Regions from separate parts of the Mus musculus genome. Here region 1 is reported to be linked to region 2. The links are microRNA targets in miRTarBase. Many come from high-throughput screens and were not tested one by one. Region 2 holds a microRNA gene; the other region holds the end of a gene's coding sequence.

Evidence for each region. The annotated mature microRNA mmu-miR-363-5p reads CAGGUGGAACACGAUGCAAUUU and lies in region 2 at 4,939-4,960, shown strand. An mRNA with a match to its seed (bases 2 to 7 or 8) in the 3' UTR can be bound and repressed. Matches are read on the target gene's strand: a 7mer-m8 pairs with bases 2 to 8, a 7mer-A1 pairs with bases 2 to 7 and ends in A, and an 8mer does both.
Region 1: miRTarBase lists Rfxank as a target of mmu-miR-363-5p. Seed matches in the 3' UTR shown: 7mer-m8 at 5,865-5,871 and 7mer-m8 at 4,983-4,989.

What each region holds. Positions count from the first base shown.
Region 1 is chr8:70,127,255-70,134,554 of GRCm38, forward strand. It overlaps Rfxank (regulatory factor X-associated ankyrin-containing protein), which reads right to left. Exons shown (of 9, transcript NM_011266.2): 8 at 6,972-7,052; 9 at 3,552-6,209. The coding sequence ends at 6,139. It overlaps Nr2c2ap (nuclear receptor 2C2-associated protein), which reads left to right and starts at 4,073. Exons shown (of 5, transcript NM_001025586.2): 1 at 4,073-4,345; 2 at 4,664-4,754; 3 at 5,158-5,263; 4 at 5,333-5,400; 5 at 5,843-6,498. The coding sequence starts at 4,308. The coding sequence ends at 5,962.
Region 2 is chrX:52,739,360-52,746,699 of GRCm38, reverse strand. Mir363 (microRNA 363) reads left to right here and starts at 4,933; the gene lies at 4,933-5,007. Mir92-2 (microRNA 92-2) reads left to right here and starts at 4,772; the gene lies at 4,772-4,862. Mir19b-2 (microRNA 19b-2) reads left to right here and starts at 4,634; the gene lies at 4,634-4,717. It overlaps Mir20b (microRNA 20b), which reads left to right and starts at 4,508; the gene lies at 4,508-4,587. It also overlaps Mir18b, Mir106a and Kis2.

The DNA.
Region 1 (7,300 bases), not on the chromosome of region 2:
GGATGGAGTAGAGAGGACCCAACAGACATAGCTTCTATAGCTGGCTTTGCAGCGCCTCATTGGTCTCTTGTCTTCATCTTTGCTGATCTTCACTTCATTGAGAAAGACACAGCAGAGAACTTCTCCTTAAGTTCCTGCTGGTCCTGGTCCCTCCTGCTGGCTCATGCCAACTTGCCTGAGGCCTGGTTGTCTCTCCTAGGCCGTGCCACCGCTGCTGATTCATGTTTGCTATCCCAACTCTACTGAACTGGACCGCTGGTGTACATTCTGACAAGCAGATGGAAGCTGCTCCAAAGAACTATTTCTAAACAGGTCCACTTCCCCAGTATCCTAATAACCTTTCTTTTCCATACCTCTGGTGAGTGGTGGGCTAGAAGGGAGGTTAAAGTATTTAAGAACCCTTATTTTATTATTATCATTTTTTTTCTAGACATGGCTTCTCTGTATAGTCCTGGCTGTCATGGAACTCACTCTGTAGACCAGGTTGGCCTCAAACTCAGAAATCTGCCTGTCTCTGCCTCCTAAGTGCTGGGATTAAAGACGTGTGTCACCACTGCCTGGCTTTTAAGAACCCTTATTAAAAGTAACTTTAAAGAAATTTAAGGGGCTGGAGAGATGGCTCAGTGGTTAAGAGCACTGATTGCTCTTCCAGAGGTCCCAAGTTCAATTTCCAGCAACCATCTGTAATGAGATCTGATGCCCTCTTCTGGAGTATCTGAAGACAGCTACAGTGTACTTACATATAATAATAAATAAATCTTTTTTTTTTTTTAACTAAGCCGGGCTAGCGAGATGGCTCAGCAGAGAGCGGGGTTGATTACAGCGAACAGGGTTGACCTGAATGAGCAGGGTGGATTGGAGCAAGCAGAGGTCCTGAAATTCAATTCCCAACAACCACATGAAGGCTCACAGCCATCTGTACAGCTATAGTGTACTCACATACATTAAATAAATAAATAAATAATAAATCTGTACAGCTACAGTGTACTCACATACATTAAATAAATAAATAAATCTTTTTAAAAAATTTAAGCCAACATGAGCATGTGTTTACCATTTTTGTATTTTTTTAGGCCAAGTACCAGCCTAGGCTAGCACACAGCATCCTAAGTACCTGAGGAAGAGCCTGATTTTGTGATTCTCCTGTCTAAACCTCCCGAATGCTAGGACAAGGCATACTTCATCACACCCAGCAGGTTACCATCTTGTTGTTCCTTTTGGAGTTTGCTGAGGAAACTGAGACTAAGGGAGATGGGATGCCCTGCTTGGAGATTCACAGGCCTGCTCTGAGGTCCCAGAGCCAAGCTGACCCTCGGGCGCCTCACCAAACCCATTCCTGAGCTGGTGCCAAGGCTGAAAAGAGAAACTGGCCCAGGGCCCAGACCTGCTGGTGCTGCAGCCTGGGGTGAGGGACCCTTGCCTGGGAATCTGCAAGGCTCAAAGAGCTATTTATAGGCCCACTCTGGGATTTAGAAGGTCCCCATCTCCAGCCTGGAAGTCCCTGTCTGTTACTGGCACCCTGAAGTTAGCTTCAGGAGATGAGGTGAGGGGGCAGCAGAGTGGCTCAGAGGTCACGTGGGTGGATGGAAGCTCCTAGACAACCAGGTCTCAGGGATAGTGCCCCTCTAATTGTACAGGAATATAGCCAAGGTCATAGTGGATAGTCATACACAGTGCCACCAACCACCTGAGGAGGATTGGGAGTTTATGACTATTTTCTTGACTGCATAGTAAATCTGAGGCCATCCTGGGCTACGGAAAATCCTGTCTCATTAAATAAACAAATACATAAATAAATAGAAAAGCCAAGTGTAGTGATGTATGACTTTAATCTCAACACTTGCAAGGCAGACACAGGTGGATCTCTGTGAGTTTGAGACCGGCCACACAGTGATCTCCAGGACAGTCAGGGCTACAGAGAGAGACCTTGTCTTGAAAACAAAAACAAAAACAAACAAAACAAAACAAAACCCCAAAAAGCCCCAAAGAACTAAAAAAAAAAACAAACAAAAAAAAAACAGTCCAGGGTTGGGAATGGGCTAGATAGACCCAGTCCTCCATGTGACACCCTCCTGCTTCAGGGCTTGGAGGGGGACGGGAAGGAGGCGGCTCTCAGGCTCCCTGACTCAGGGATGAATGCACCATGTTGGCTACTTCACTGGGAACTCAGAGCTACTAATTCCCTGGTGAAACAGGAGGCTCTTTCATGCCCAGGCGCCAGTGGGGTGAGGAGGCGGGAAGAGAGTAGGGAGCTGGCAGTGTCCCAGGGGGCCAGGCAGCCTCATGCCAGGGCCAGAAGCAATACAGGAAGGATGGCGGCTGGGATTCTATGCAGTCTCTTCAGGCACCACAGCCACCTTTTTTGTGTTGAGTGCCATAGAGGTAACACAGCCAGCCATTGGCAGGGTAGTGATGAGTCCATGCCTAGAGACAGACTTGTCTATGAGCCCTAGTGTCCCAAGTGTCATTGTTACTGGGCGTCAACCCAAAGGGCCTACTTTTCACAGGCAGGAAGTTGAGCTCAGAGGTCAAAGGTTTGTCTGAGAACACATAGCCAAACGTTTAATGACGCATGGCCTTGGAAAACAGCTAGGCTGAAGCTGGATGGCCTGGCAAGGAAGGCCCTGCATTTCTGGGCTGGCAGGGCATCCCTCCTGATGTGACCCAGTTACCCTGCCAGGCCTGCTTCCTGGGGCGGACTTAGGAGACACCGGTGGGATGCTAAGGAACCCTCTGGCGCTCACAGAAAGAGGAAAGATCAGAGGCCATTCAACCCAGAGGCTGCTCTGTCTTGGGAGTCTTCATTCAGAGAGCAGGCTGGGGTTCCACCCTCTCCCCAAAGCTGCTGCAGACCAGTGGGAAGTGGCTCCCTAGCTCTCATTCAAACCTGTTGTCTGTGTCACCTGATTCTATGTTTTTGCTAATCCCTGGCCTGGAACTCTTTCTCTTCCAGAAAGCCCTTCCTTTAGAAAGTCTCCCTGCTTCTTCAGTCTCTTTGTTCCTGTGACTCATCCCTGAACCCATGATGTTTGGGGTGTCTATGTCTGGTTTTGTTTGCTCCCACTGGGACACACTCCTCTGCATCCTCTGAAATCCACCTTACACCATTCTTTGACCAAGTCTTCCATAACATGTTAGGAAAGCATTCGCTGAGAGACTGATTTATCCTTCGCGCTGGTGATGGGACCCAGTGCCTTGCACTTTCTGGGCAGCCTGCTATTGAGCTCCTTAGCTGAGGAGATGGCTCAGTTGGTAAAGTAGCTGACCCTGATGACTCAAATGCAATCCCCAGGACCCATGCGGTGAAAGGAGAAAGCTAACTCCTACACGTTATGCTCTAACTTCCACATATTAATAAAAGTAATACAAAAAGTAGACTCTGGAAAATGTTTGAGAGCACTTCCTGTTCTCGCAGAGGACCTACAGTCGGTTTCCAGCAGCCTCACTGGAAGTGGTGGTACAGGAGATCCCATGTTCTCTTCTGGATGGACAATTACCAGACATGTATAGTATACAAACACTCAAGCAAAACACTCATTACACATTAAAGTGTTTTTAATTAAAAAATATACTTTAATCCCAATACGGGGCGTGAAGGTGCATGCCTTTAATCCCAGGGCTCAGGAGGCAGAGGCAGGAGGATTTCTGGGAGTCTAGGCGGCCATTACCTGCGAGGCAAATTCCGGGCAGCCAAATCTACACGAGACCCTGTCTCAAAAATATATTAGGCAGATCTGCTACTGTCCATGTTAGCATGAAACGTAAGCCCTGCAGGAGATGGATTTAGGGTCGGAGCAGGACGCAAGGGCTGGGGGTGACTGATGCACCCAGTAGCACGGCCTCTTCAACATTTATTTTGGCCTCTTTGGAAGGCAATGGGGTGCAGGGCTCCCAAGCTGCATCCACGGCGAGCAAGGCCTTCTGCAGGTAGACATGATCACAGGAAGGCCATGGGAACATTTTGTAGCCACTAGGTGTGTAGTTCAACAGAACCAGAAACCTCAGTGTGAGGGCCCTTTAAGAGGCGAAGGGGAGGTGCCATAAACCCCGCCCCGGCCCCGCGAACGGAACAGTGTCTGTGTAGCACTGCGCGTGCGCTATCCGCACGCGGTTCCGGGTTCGTAGATCTGCAGAGCCGCTGGGGCTCGGTTGGTTTAGAAAGCTGCTTTTAGTGTTCCTCCGGTTCCCAGATCGCCCACCTTGTCATATAGAGGTGGCCGGGGGTAGGGAGTGTGGCCGCTAGATCAAGTTGGGAGTGGCAGCGCCGGGCTTCGAACTCGCGTTCCGCGAGTCATCCTAGAACTGTGATGACTCAGTCTTTGGTTTGTCCGGACACTGTGAGCAGGTGAGACTCAGTGTAGATCTGGGCGCGGGGGCGGAAGAACTGGGAGCTGAGTTGTGGAGACGAGGCCCAGATGGCAGCTAGCTGGGGTCCAGAATCAGGAACCTGGAGCAGCCTGGGGGCGGAGCCAGGTGGTAGAGTCCCGTGGTTTAAGTGGTGTGTTGCCTGGTGCATCTGTTCCCTGGCTGGGGGTGCGGTCTGGTAGTTAAGTTCCTGGCTGTTGGTAGCAGAGTTCTTGGGTGTGGGGCCGGCCGGCCTGGTGGGTGGCTCACAGCAAGGATGTCCAAGTGTTGAGGCCCCTAACCTGGTCCTGTCCTGCAGGGTCAGTTCTGTGCTCAATCGCAACAGCCGGCAATTTGGAAAGAAACATCTTTTTGACCAGGATGAAGAGACGTGCTGGAACTCTGACCAGGTGAGGTGCTTCTATACCCCTTCATTCCAAGTGTAGGGGTGTAGAAGATGCAAGGTTACAGGGTGCCTTGAGATCTCTGGGGAGACTAGAAAGCACAGTGTGCTTGTACCCTTCCTGTGCTGGCCGTGGCAGTGACACTTGAAAGATGAACAGACAAAAAACAAACAAACAAAAAAGGCGGGCAGTGGTGGCACACGCCTTTAATCCCAGCACTTGGGAGGCAGAGGCAGGTGGATCTCTGAGTTCGAGGCCAGCCTGGTCTACAAAGTGAGTTCCAGGACAGCCAGAGCTACACAGAGAAACCCTGTCTTGGGGAAAAAAAAAAGAAAGAAAGATGAACAGAACATCATAGGGCCCTAACCTTGCAGTTACCAAGTGCCTCAGTTTATCCCTCTGCTTCCAGGGCCCCTCCCAGTGGGTGTCACTCGAGTTTCCCCAGTGTGTTCAGATCACACAGCTGCAGGTGCAGTTCCAGGGTGGCTTCTCCAGTCGCCACAGCTGCCTGGAAGGTACAAGAAAGCTGAGAGGTGGGGTGTCCACAGGGTTCCCTGGATTCTTAGCCCATTTCTCCATTGCAGGTTCACGGGGTGGGGAGGCACTCAGCAAGATTGTAGATTTCTACCCTGAGGACACCAATGCCCTTCAGATATCCTGCCTGTCTTGTGGTGGGAGGGATCTGGTTTTCTACAAGCTTCAGGTCTTTGGGTGTGGTGGTAATGGCACTGGGGAGGCTGGGGCAGGAGGATCCAGAATGCCAGGCCAGCTTGGACCAGACCCTGTCTCAAAAGAATCAAAGCTTTGACCTCCTCCGCAGGAGTAGGAACTGCTTCTCTGTGCTTTAGTGCCCTGGAGGGGCAGCAGGAAGATCAGGAGTTCAAGGTCAGCCTCAACTACAGTTTGAGGCCAGCCTGGGTTACCTGAGACCCCCATATTTAAAAGAAAAAGAAAAAAAGGTGCTATTGATTTCTTGCTGGGTATGAGAATCAAGAGCCTTTAGTCAGTGGCCCATCGGGTGGTCTCTGGACTGGGAAGGTGGGGCCTGATGGGTCAGAGATAAAACCACCATTTCCTTGACTGCAAGAAGTCACACCTTCTCCATCCCCACAATGGAGGTGGACCGACTGAAGTTGACTTTTGAGGACACCACCGACTTTTTTGGCCGTGTAGTCATCTACCACCTGCGGGTGCTGGGTGAGAAGGCAGGGTGAGAAGCGGCTATTCTTCCAGGAAGCCCCCCTGGGAGGCACCCTGAAGACCTTCAAGTTCTGCACAGATTTATTGGTTCCTGTTGCGGAGGGCTCTTCCCACCACTGTCCAGGAGCTGCCTTTCAAGCCAGTTGTGGGCTGACTGTCCCTGAGTGCCTGGGTTCCCAGCAGGCTGTCTTCACTCGGGGTCCACAGGCCCCAGGGTGCTCTGGAACAATCTGAGGATGTGGCTCTCCATCACCTGTTGCACTGTGGGAGGAGGTGGGAGGAGGGGTGAGCTGGGGGAGCCGGGAAGAAGGGACTGAAGAAGATGCTCAGCCTCTGATGTAAACAGGAGGCCGTGAGCAGGAAACTGTCCAGCCAAGTGCTTTTCTGCTTTTCTGTTCTTGCTGGGCTGGGCTCACTACCTTGAGAATAGGTTGCTTTAAGGCAAGGTTTGCCTGTCTCCCTTCACTCCTGTATCCCACCCACCCTCCGAATTGTAGCTCTCTCTGCCTCCAGAACCATGAGTCCAAATAAAATGTTAAAAAAAACCAAACACCCCATTTGTGGTACTCTGTTACAGCAACAGGAATGGAAGTCTGGGATGCCCACCCCACCACCAAGAGGAACAATGTGTGGATGTGGGTGGAGGTGATAACCAAGACTACGCCCACCCTGGGCCTGGATGGTGCTGTTTGTATCTCCGAGTGTCTGTGTCCCCCAGAGTGTGTCTGAGTGTCTGTGTCCTCCAGAATGTGTCTGAGTGTCTGTGTGCTCCCAGAGTGTCTCTTGAGTGTCTTTGTCCCCCCAGAGTGTGCCTGAGTGTCTGTGTCCCCCAGAGTGTCTCTGAGTGTCTGTGTCTCCCTGGGGCAGTGTTCTCTTGTCATGCACTGGTGTCCCTGCTGCAACCTGGGTGCTAAGGGCCGTGTTTCCTACCAGGATCTAGCACCCATGGGGAACACCCCGTGTACAGCCTTTGTGGCCACCCCATCCACAGCCCCTCAGCTTGCCACAGCATCCCAAGCCCACCTTTGCGGTATCCCAGGGCCACTGCGAGATCCATTGGGGTGTAGCCAGAGTCAGCCTCTGTGGTGAGGTCAGCACCCCGGGCTGTGAAGAGGAATGGGCACTCAGAGATGAGCTCATGGCAGGGCTTGGGGACTGAAGGCTGGAGTGACTCTTCCCTCCCCACCCCAGTACAACTACAGGTCTGCCTTTTGTCCATTGACACAGCACAGTGGCCAGACTTCAGGAGCCCCTACCCAAAGAACAGGGTTTAGAGTCTCTGAGGCATGGAGGGTAGGAGGCTCATCATGGCTGACAGGATCCAACACAAACCCCCTCACACTACCCTGTCT
Region 2 (7,340 bases):
GGAAGAAATTATTTTCTCTAGCTGAGGAACTCGATCCAGGCATTCTATATAGTGCAAACTTAAAAACAAAGGAACAACAACAAAAACAAGAAAATATCCTGGAAAAGTTTACCTAAAATACCTTATTCGGGGTATTGTTCTGACTTTAGAAGGGAGGGGTGGAGAGGGTTGAAAACTGGGGTGGGGGTGGGAAGACCATGGGAGGATAGTTTGTTTAATGAACTGTTAAAATTTGGAAATTCTTAAGTGGGGTCCCTCACCACGGCATTGAAACCATCCTCTTAATTTCATTTTAGGCAGGCTGCATCTACTTGTACTCATCTCATAGGATATTTTCATCTCTTCCAGCTCTCTTCTGTCTCTTAACCAAGACGCGTAGTCCGGGTGACTGTTGGTAGTGAGGTTTCTTTGGGAAAATATTCCAAAATCGGGGTAATGGGTTTTCTCATTCTGATGCTCAAGGGAATGTGTTTACTCGTTCCCAGCGCTCCCACTGCAGCTGCAGGGCACAATTAATTATGTTAATAATTTGCGAGAAGCGGATGTAACTCCCCAACTCCTCCCCCCCGGGGGGGTGACAAAAGGGGAAGGAGACATCCTGGGGTCCGACCACGTGATATTATCTTCGCGCCACTTTTACAACCCTCCCCCAGGTTTTGCTTGAGCTCATTGAGGTTTTTTTTTTTTTTAAATCCTGCTTTAATACAATGTCTCTTAAAAGAGGGTCTGAGATATGTTTCCACACCTCTCCATCACTAGCTACCTTTAAAGGTCCAAAGTTGGATTGCAGTCCATGCAACTCTCACAAGCGAGATCTGATTGGATATTAAATTTGGGCTTGCATAGTTTCCAGAAAGCATCAAACAGATGCTCTGGCATACGGTGGGAGGTCTGTTTGTGCGGGTGTTTGAAAGTGGAAGGCAGCCCACCTGTAGGAGTAACACACATTGGAGTAACGAGGGTGCTTTGCATCACTGAGACCTGAGCTGAGCCTGCAATTCTGCTTGAGCTCCACCGCTGGCCAGGGAGCAGGAGACAAGTCTTAGGAGTCTTTCAGTCCTTAGTAATCCGCTCGCCTGAACCCCTACTGTGCACCAGATTGAAACTCACGTGGTGCTCTTGTTCCCTTTTGAGCTTTGAACTGCCACAATCACCCAAGGCAACAGTGTTAGGGAGTAAGGGACCTGTCTTCGTTTCTGAGCCCCAGCTCATCCCTTCCAGTGTCCCCTCTCCTGATAGTGCGTGCTCAGTAACTTCAGGTTTATTTGTTATCTGGTCAATCACTCTTTCCACCATCTAACTCACCAAATATCTATCCTCTTGGACCCGTGCCCTCCAACAAAGCAGAGAAAGTATAGTATGGTTATCCTTTTTTGCCCCATAACCTCCTAGTATGCTTAATTTTGTATTGACGCTAAATCATAATTTTAGTTTTGTACTTGGGATGTGCTTTTAAACAGCCTTCTCTCAAATGAGTCTTAGCTGTGGAAGGGGGAAAAGCAAGGTAATTGGCATCTGTGCGTGCACCCAAGGGACATTACCATTCATAATGCCTGCTAGGAAACTGATTTAAAGGGTAAAGGTGGCGTTCAGCAAGTGTGAAACTTCAGCAGTAGCTTCACATGCCAGAACTGAAAACTTTCACATGGGCAGAGTGGATATGCCGGGTATGTATTTCTTCTCTCCTACAGACTTTCGGGACACTTTCAATCTAGCTGTGAGGTAGTGCGCATGCGCGCACTCGTTGGGACGTGGGGACACCTGGGTCCCACAACTGCTTGGGCCTCGTAGCCTATCTCCAGAGGGGGATGGGACAAGCGCTTCAGGAGCCTGACCGGACAAGGTAGTAATGAGTGCGCCATTCTGGGCAGGCGACTGTGGCACTGGTTTAGACTGGCATCCCATGGGTGCTTGGATTAAGGAAGGACTCTGGTGTTGGGGACAGAAGGGCAAGGCTGAGGGAGCGGGTCCTGTGTGTCACTGGGGCACCGTGGGCTTTGGCCTGGGCGGTGTGGGGGTTCCATTTCCTAATTCCTGTGTGGGCCGAGTGGGCGGGGGCGGGCTTTCCCCCCTAGGCTATTAAAGGCGAAGGGCGGGCTTTTCCCAGGGATCGGGCTTTGGGACGCAGCTCGAGGTGACGGACCGCTGCCACAGGCTCGTGTGCACAAGTGGTGCTGCGCGGACACTTTGGGGGTTAGGTGTGCGTGGGCCGCCGGGGCGCGTTTCCTGCACGTGGCTCCTCGCCGCCCTCCCTCCTCCACCAGCTAGGAGAGCAGAGGGCCAGGAGCTCTAGGAAGATGCGTGCGGTTCCCTGATCCTGGCAGGCAGGACAGCAGCGGGATGGTCGCGCGCGCCACCTGCCAGGGCGGGTCACTGGCAGATCCCCTACGCGCTTGTTCTGGATGACTGGACCAGGAGATGCGTACCTCCGCGGGCGCAGCTGTGATCCCAGAGAGTTAACTAAGGTGGGAGGGGATGGAGCTGGCAAGACTTGAGAAAAGCAAAGTACCTGAGTGTAGTTGAGGGGTGCCAGGCAACTCGTGAGAAAAGGACTCTCCCTTGTTGCTCTGAAGGTTTCTGGAGAACTTGTGGGTGGTCAAATGCCAGGGTGCACGTGGGGTGTGGGGCGGGAGGACTCCCGACCTACCTTGGTTTCCCTCCCACCAACCCGAGAATGGAGGGAGAGGCTTAAGCTTGGCGCGTTTTGGGGGCTTTGAATGGAGAACTCCGTTTCCCATAATGCTTTGTTTCTTTCTGTTTAATTTTGGTGGCCGCTAAGGTGTCTTGAAGACCTAAGCGCGTGGCATGACTGGCTGGAGCACACCCTGCGTTCCCAGGAGGTTCACAGATCTCTACTGGAGCCGCTGCTGAAGATGCGGGAATAGACCAGAGAAAATCCCGAAATGGTAAAAGACTGGGTCCTCTTTGCAATTTTAGAAGTTGTACAGCGACTTTCTAGTATATATGATGGAGAGCAGATGTGTTAAAGAAAGGTATTAGCTAGAAGGAGCTTTCTCTGGAGGGCTGAGGTATGGTTTTGCGAAGTTGAGTCAGGTTTTGTAATATATTTTTAGTGGAGGCAAAAATCTCTAGTTGTAGGAACCCAGTTCAAGAAGAAAAGTATAATAAGCCAATACTTGCACTATAGGAAGCAGATTTCATATTTACTTCAAAAGTTTTGCTAATTTATATTTAAAATGTTTTAAGAACTATCTTAGTCACTAAGTGGCTTCGAAAAGTTCCAACATTTAAAATATCCTTTCTCATTGAACACATTTCAAGTTTTGTGTCCCTGAAGTTTATTGGTGTCCCCCCATCAACACAAACATTCCATCATGGGAGGGAGGGAGCTCGTGACCCCTCAGACTGTCCTCTGCAGCATTTTCCTGGGTAAGATACACACTTGGAAATGAGAGAGGTTTTTCCTGTGGAAGATAATGACATGAAGCCAAAGAGCTAATCTGACTTCTTTAGGTTTAATGGAGAAAATGGGTCCATAAATGTTTAAACAGAAGTAGAGCCCTTTGAAATAGATGAAAATGTGACATCTCTAGGCCATCTGTGCGGTATGTGAAGAGTGTAAAACTGTTTCTTAAAGCGGCTCTGAAATTTCTATCATTTTCTCTTAATGGGCTGGGGGCAGGGATGCTTCATGTAATCAAACATAGAGACCTTCCGAGTGGCTCCCCAAAGCTCTGGATGAGCTCAAGACGTCAGTACTCACCCTAATGTTATTTATTTATTTTTTTGCTTACATCTTTTCCTGGGCTCTTGCCTCTTAGAAAACCATGGTGGATATTACAGCTCTGCAAATTTTCTGGGATGCGAATCTCAAATTTCCTTAGACGGAGAGGGAGTCCAAAATCCTCTTACTCTTAAGAGTCAGACATTCTGAGATTGCCAGTGTTATTCATGTTTAAGTCTGTGTAAATAATTGAGCTTATTAATGTTTGAAGTAACACAACCCCATTTGCACTCTTAACGGAAGGCAAACTTGTTTTAGAAATAGTAACTCACAGTTCACTTACTTGCTGTGTGTGTGTGTGTGTGTTTATCCAGGTGAGTCTGCAGATCTGGCAAAGAAGAGTTCGTGGAAGACTTCAAGGTTACACTCCTGGAGTATGCCTTGGCCATGTCAAAGTGCTAACAGTGCAGGTAGCTTTTTGAGTTCTACTGCAGTGCCAGCACTTCTTACATTACCATGGTGATTTAATCAGAGGCCGCTGAGTCCCCTGGTTTCTGCATAGTTAGATTGTGGATGTTTTTGAGCTGCTCCTTGTAATGTGTCTCTTGTGTTAAGGTGCATCTAGTGCTGTTAGTGAAGCAGCTTACAATCTACTGCCCTAAATGCCCCTTCTCGCACAGGCTACTTCTTACCTTGCATTTGAAAAGCATATCTTGAGAAATGATTTGAACGGCACAAGTTTCAAAGGCTCTTTCAGTGTTTCGCCGAGAAACAGATGGCGGAGACTGTAGTATACAGTTGTGTAGAAGAACAAGCTCGGATCCTAGTAGTGCCAAAGTGCTCATAGTGCAGGTAGTTTTTATACCACTCTACTGCAGTGTGAGCACTTCTAGTACTCCTGGATCAACCAAGGTCTTGTTGAAGCAACTACAGCGCAAGGACATTGCTACTTACGATTAGTTTTGCAGATTTGCAGTTCAGCGTATATGTGAATATATGGCTGTGCAAATCCATGCAAAACTGATTGTGGGAATGTGTACCTTTCTGCATCGTAATGGACACCTTTATGCACATCTTCAGCATCCATGCCCATTCATCCACAGGTGGGGATTGGTGGCATTACTTGTGTTAGATATAAAGTATTGCACTTGTCCCGGCCTGAGGAAGAAAGAGGGTTTTTAATCGTCTTTTAGTTTCTGAGTATTGTAAGTTATGTTAGACTGTAATTATGAAATGAACTGTTTTGCTGTTATCAGGTGGAACACGATGCAATTTTGGTTGGTGTAATAGGAGGAAAATTGCACGGTATCCATCTGTAAACCGCAGGACCTATGTGGACAGCCGTCTATCAGTGCTATAGTAAGATTGTAAAATCCTTTAGCTAGTCATTGCTTTGAACACATTTGGAGTGGATTTTTTTTTTTTTTTTTTGGTTTTTCAAGACAGAGTTTCTCTGTATAGCCCTGGCTGTCCTGGAACTCACTCAGGGTGGCCTCGAACTCAGAAATCTGCCTGCCTCTGCCTCCCAAGTGCTGGGATCAAAGGCGTGCGCCACCACGCCCAGCTTGGAGTCTAATTTTTTAAAACTACATATTTTTAAATATATTTGAAATCCTGACATTTTGATTGCACTGAATGTAAACAAACCTGAAATTTGCAAAATAAAGCTGATATATAAGTCTGAAAAAAAATGGGTTTCTTTTTTCTTTTTTAAAAGATTCTATTTATTTATTTATTTATTTATTTATTATATGACAAGTACACTGTAGCTGTCTCCATAGACACCAGAAGGTGGCATCAGACCCCATTCCAGATGGTTGTGAGCCACCATGTGGTTGCTGGGATTTGAACTCAGTACCGCTGGAAGAGCAGTCAGTGCTCTTAACCACTGAGCCATCTCTCCAGCCTGGGGCTCTCTTTTTTTTCTCTCTTTTTTTTTATTAGGTATTTTCCTCGTTTACATTTCCAATGCTATCCCAAAAGTCCCCCATACCCACCCACCCCCACTCCCCTACCCACCCACTCCCCCTTTTTGGCCCTGGCGTTCCCCTGTACTGGGGCATATAAAGTTTGCAAGTCCAAAGGGCCTCTCTTTCCAGTGATGGCTGACTAGGCCATCTTTTGATACATATGCAGCTAGAGACAAGAGCTCCGGGGTACTGGTTAGTTCATATTGTTGTTCCACCTATAGGGTTGCAGATCCCTTTAGCTCCTTGGGTACTTTCTCTAGCTCCTCCATTGGGGACCCTGTGATCCATCCAATAGCTGACTGTGATCATCCACTTCTGTGTTTGCTAGGCCCCAGCATAGTCTCACAAGAGACAGCTATATCTGGGTCCTTTCAGGAAAATCTTGCTAGTGTATGCAATGGTGTCAGCGTTTGGAAGCTGATTATGGGATGGATCCCTGGATATGGCAATGGCTCTCTTTTTAAATTAGCAATACTATTGGCTTTTCTAAAATAGCGTCTTGGTATGTAGCTCTGGTTAGCTTGGAACTCAATTTGTAAACTAGGCTAGCCTTGAACTTGCGGAGATCTGTGTGTTTCTGCTTCTAGAATGCTGAGATTAAAGGTAGGCACCCCTCCACTCCTAGACTTCCAGCATTTACATACATTTATCTATCTATCTATCTATCTATCTATCTATCTATCTATCTATCTATCTATCTACTTATTTAGTGTGTGTGTCATGTGGTGATTTGAGAACAACTGTAGGGAGCTAGTCATGTGGGTCATGGACATACATCTTAGATTTCTTAGGCCCGATGGCAAGTGCCCTTCCCCCACTGAGCTGAAAACAAATTTTATAGGGTATGTCTTGAAGGAACATTTGAATATAACTGGAATTTAAGTTTGCGTTGAGTCTTTGGTTTTATCACTACTGAAAACCCTGCCAGTCCCATCTCCAGAGAGTGACTGTCATCAGGTGAGCCCTCAGGATTTGCCTTTGTAACCCAGTCTCAGGTGCTGATGGTGCTCGCCCAAAGAACTATAGGTTAAAAAAAAAAAAACGCCCGGTTCTATTTTAAGTTTCAAATTCATAAAGTTGAAAGGACTCAGGCACATTTTTTACCCCACTTTCTCATTCTGTTTCATGTGTTAATGTTAACACTGCCCTGTCTTTGGTAAGTGGAAAAACTAGGTAGGTATGTGTTGGTTTTACCTATCTGAACATTGAGTTCTCATCAGAAGGGAGAGGTATCACTATGTGTCATTCTTTGTGCCTTGGAATTTCCCAACTTTGAAAGCCTTTTATTACTTTTTGGGGACCTCATTACATAGGTTCAATTTAGTTAGAATTTTTTTACTGAATTATACTTCACCTTTGAGCTAGTTCCCTAAGCTTCCATTTCATTAGGGAAAATACAGTGATAACATTGGTCCTACACCAGTGAGGTGGGGCTTCTGTTCTCCTTGGGAGGTGAAGAGTGGTCAAGAACATGGATTTTAACTGCTGTGATGACATGAAATCTTAATGAAAAGAGATGGAGGCTAGTAAATTCTCTATTAAGTATGTAGGATTTTCTTAAGTCACTAATGTTTGAAGTAATTACAGAAACAAAATAATGAGATACTTCCTGTGCTATGACTTAGTATTTTATTGGTGCCTAATTGTAGTTAAGTTTGATGTGGTAGCAAAGACCTCCTTCCCTT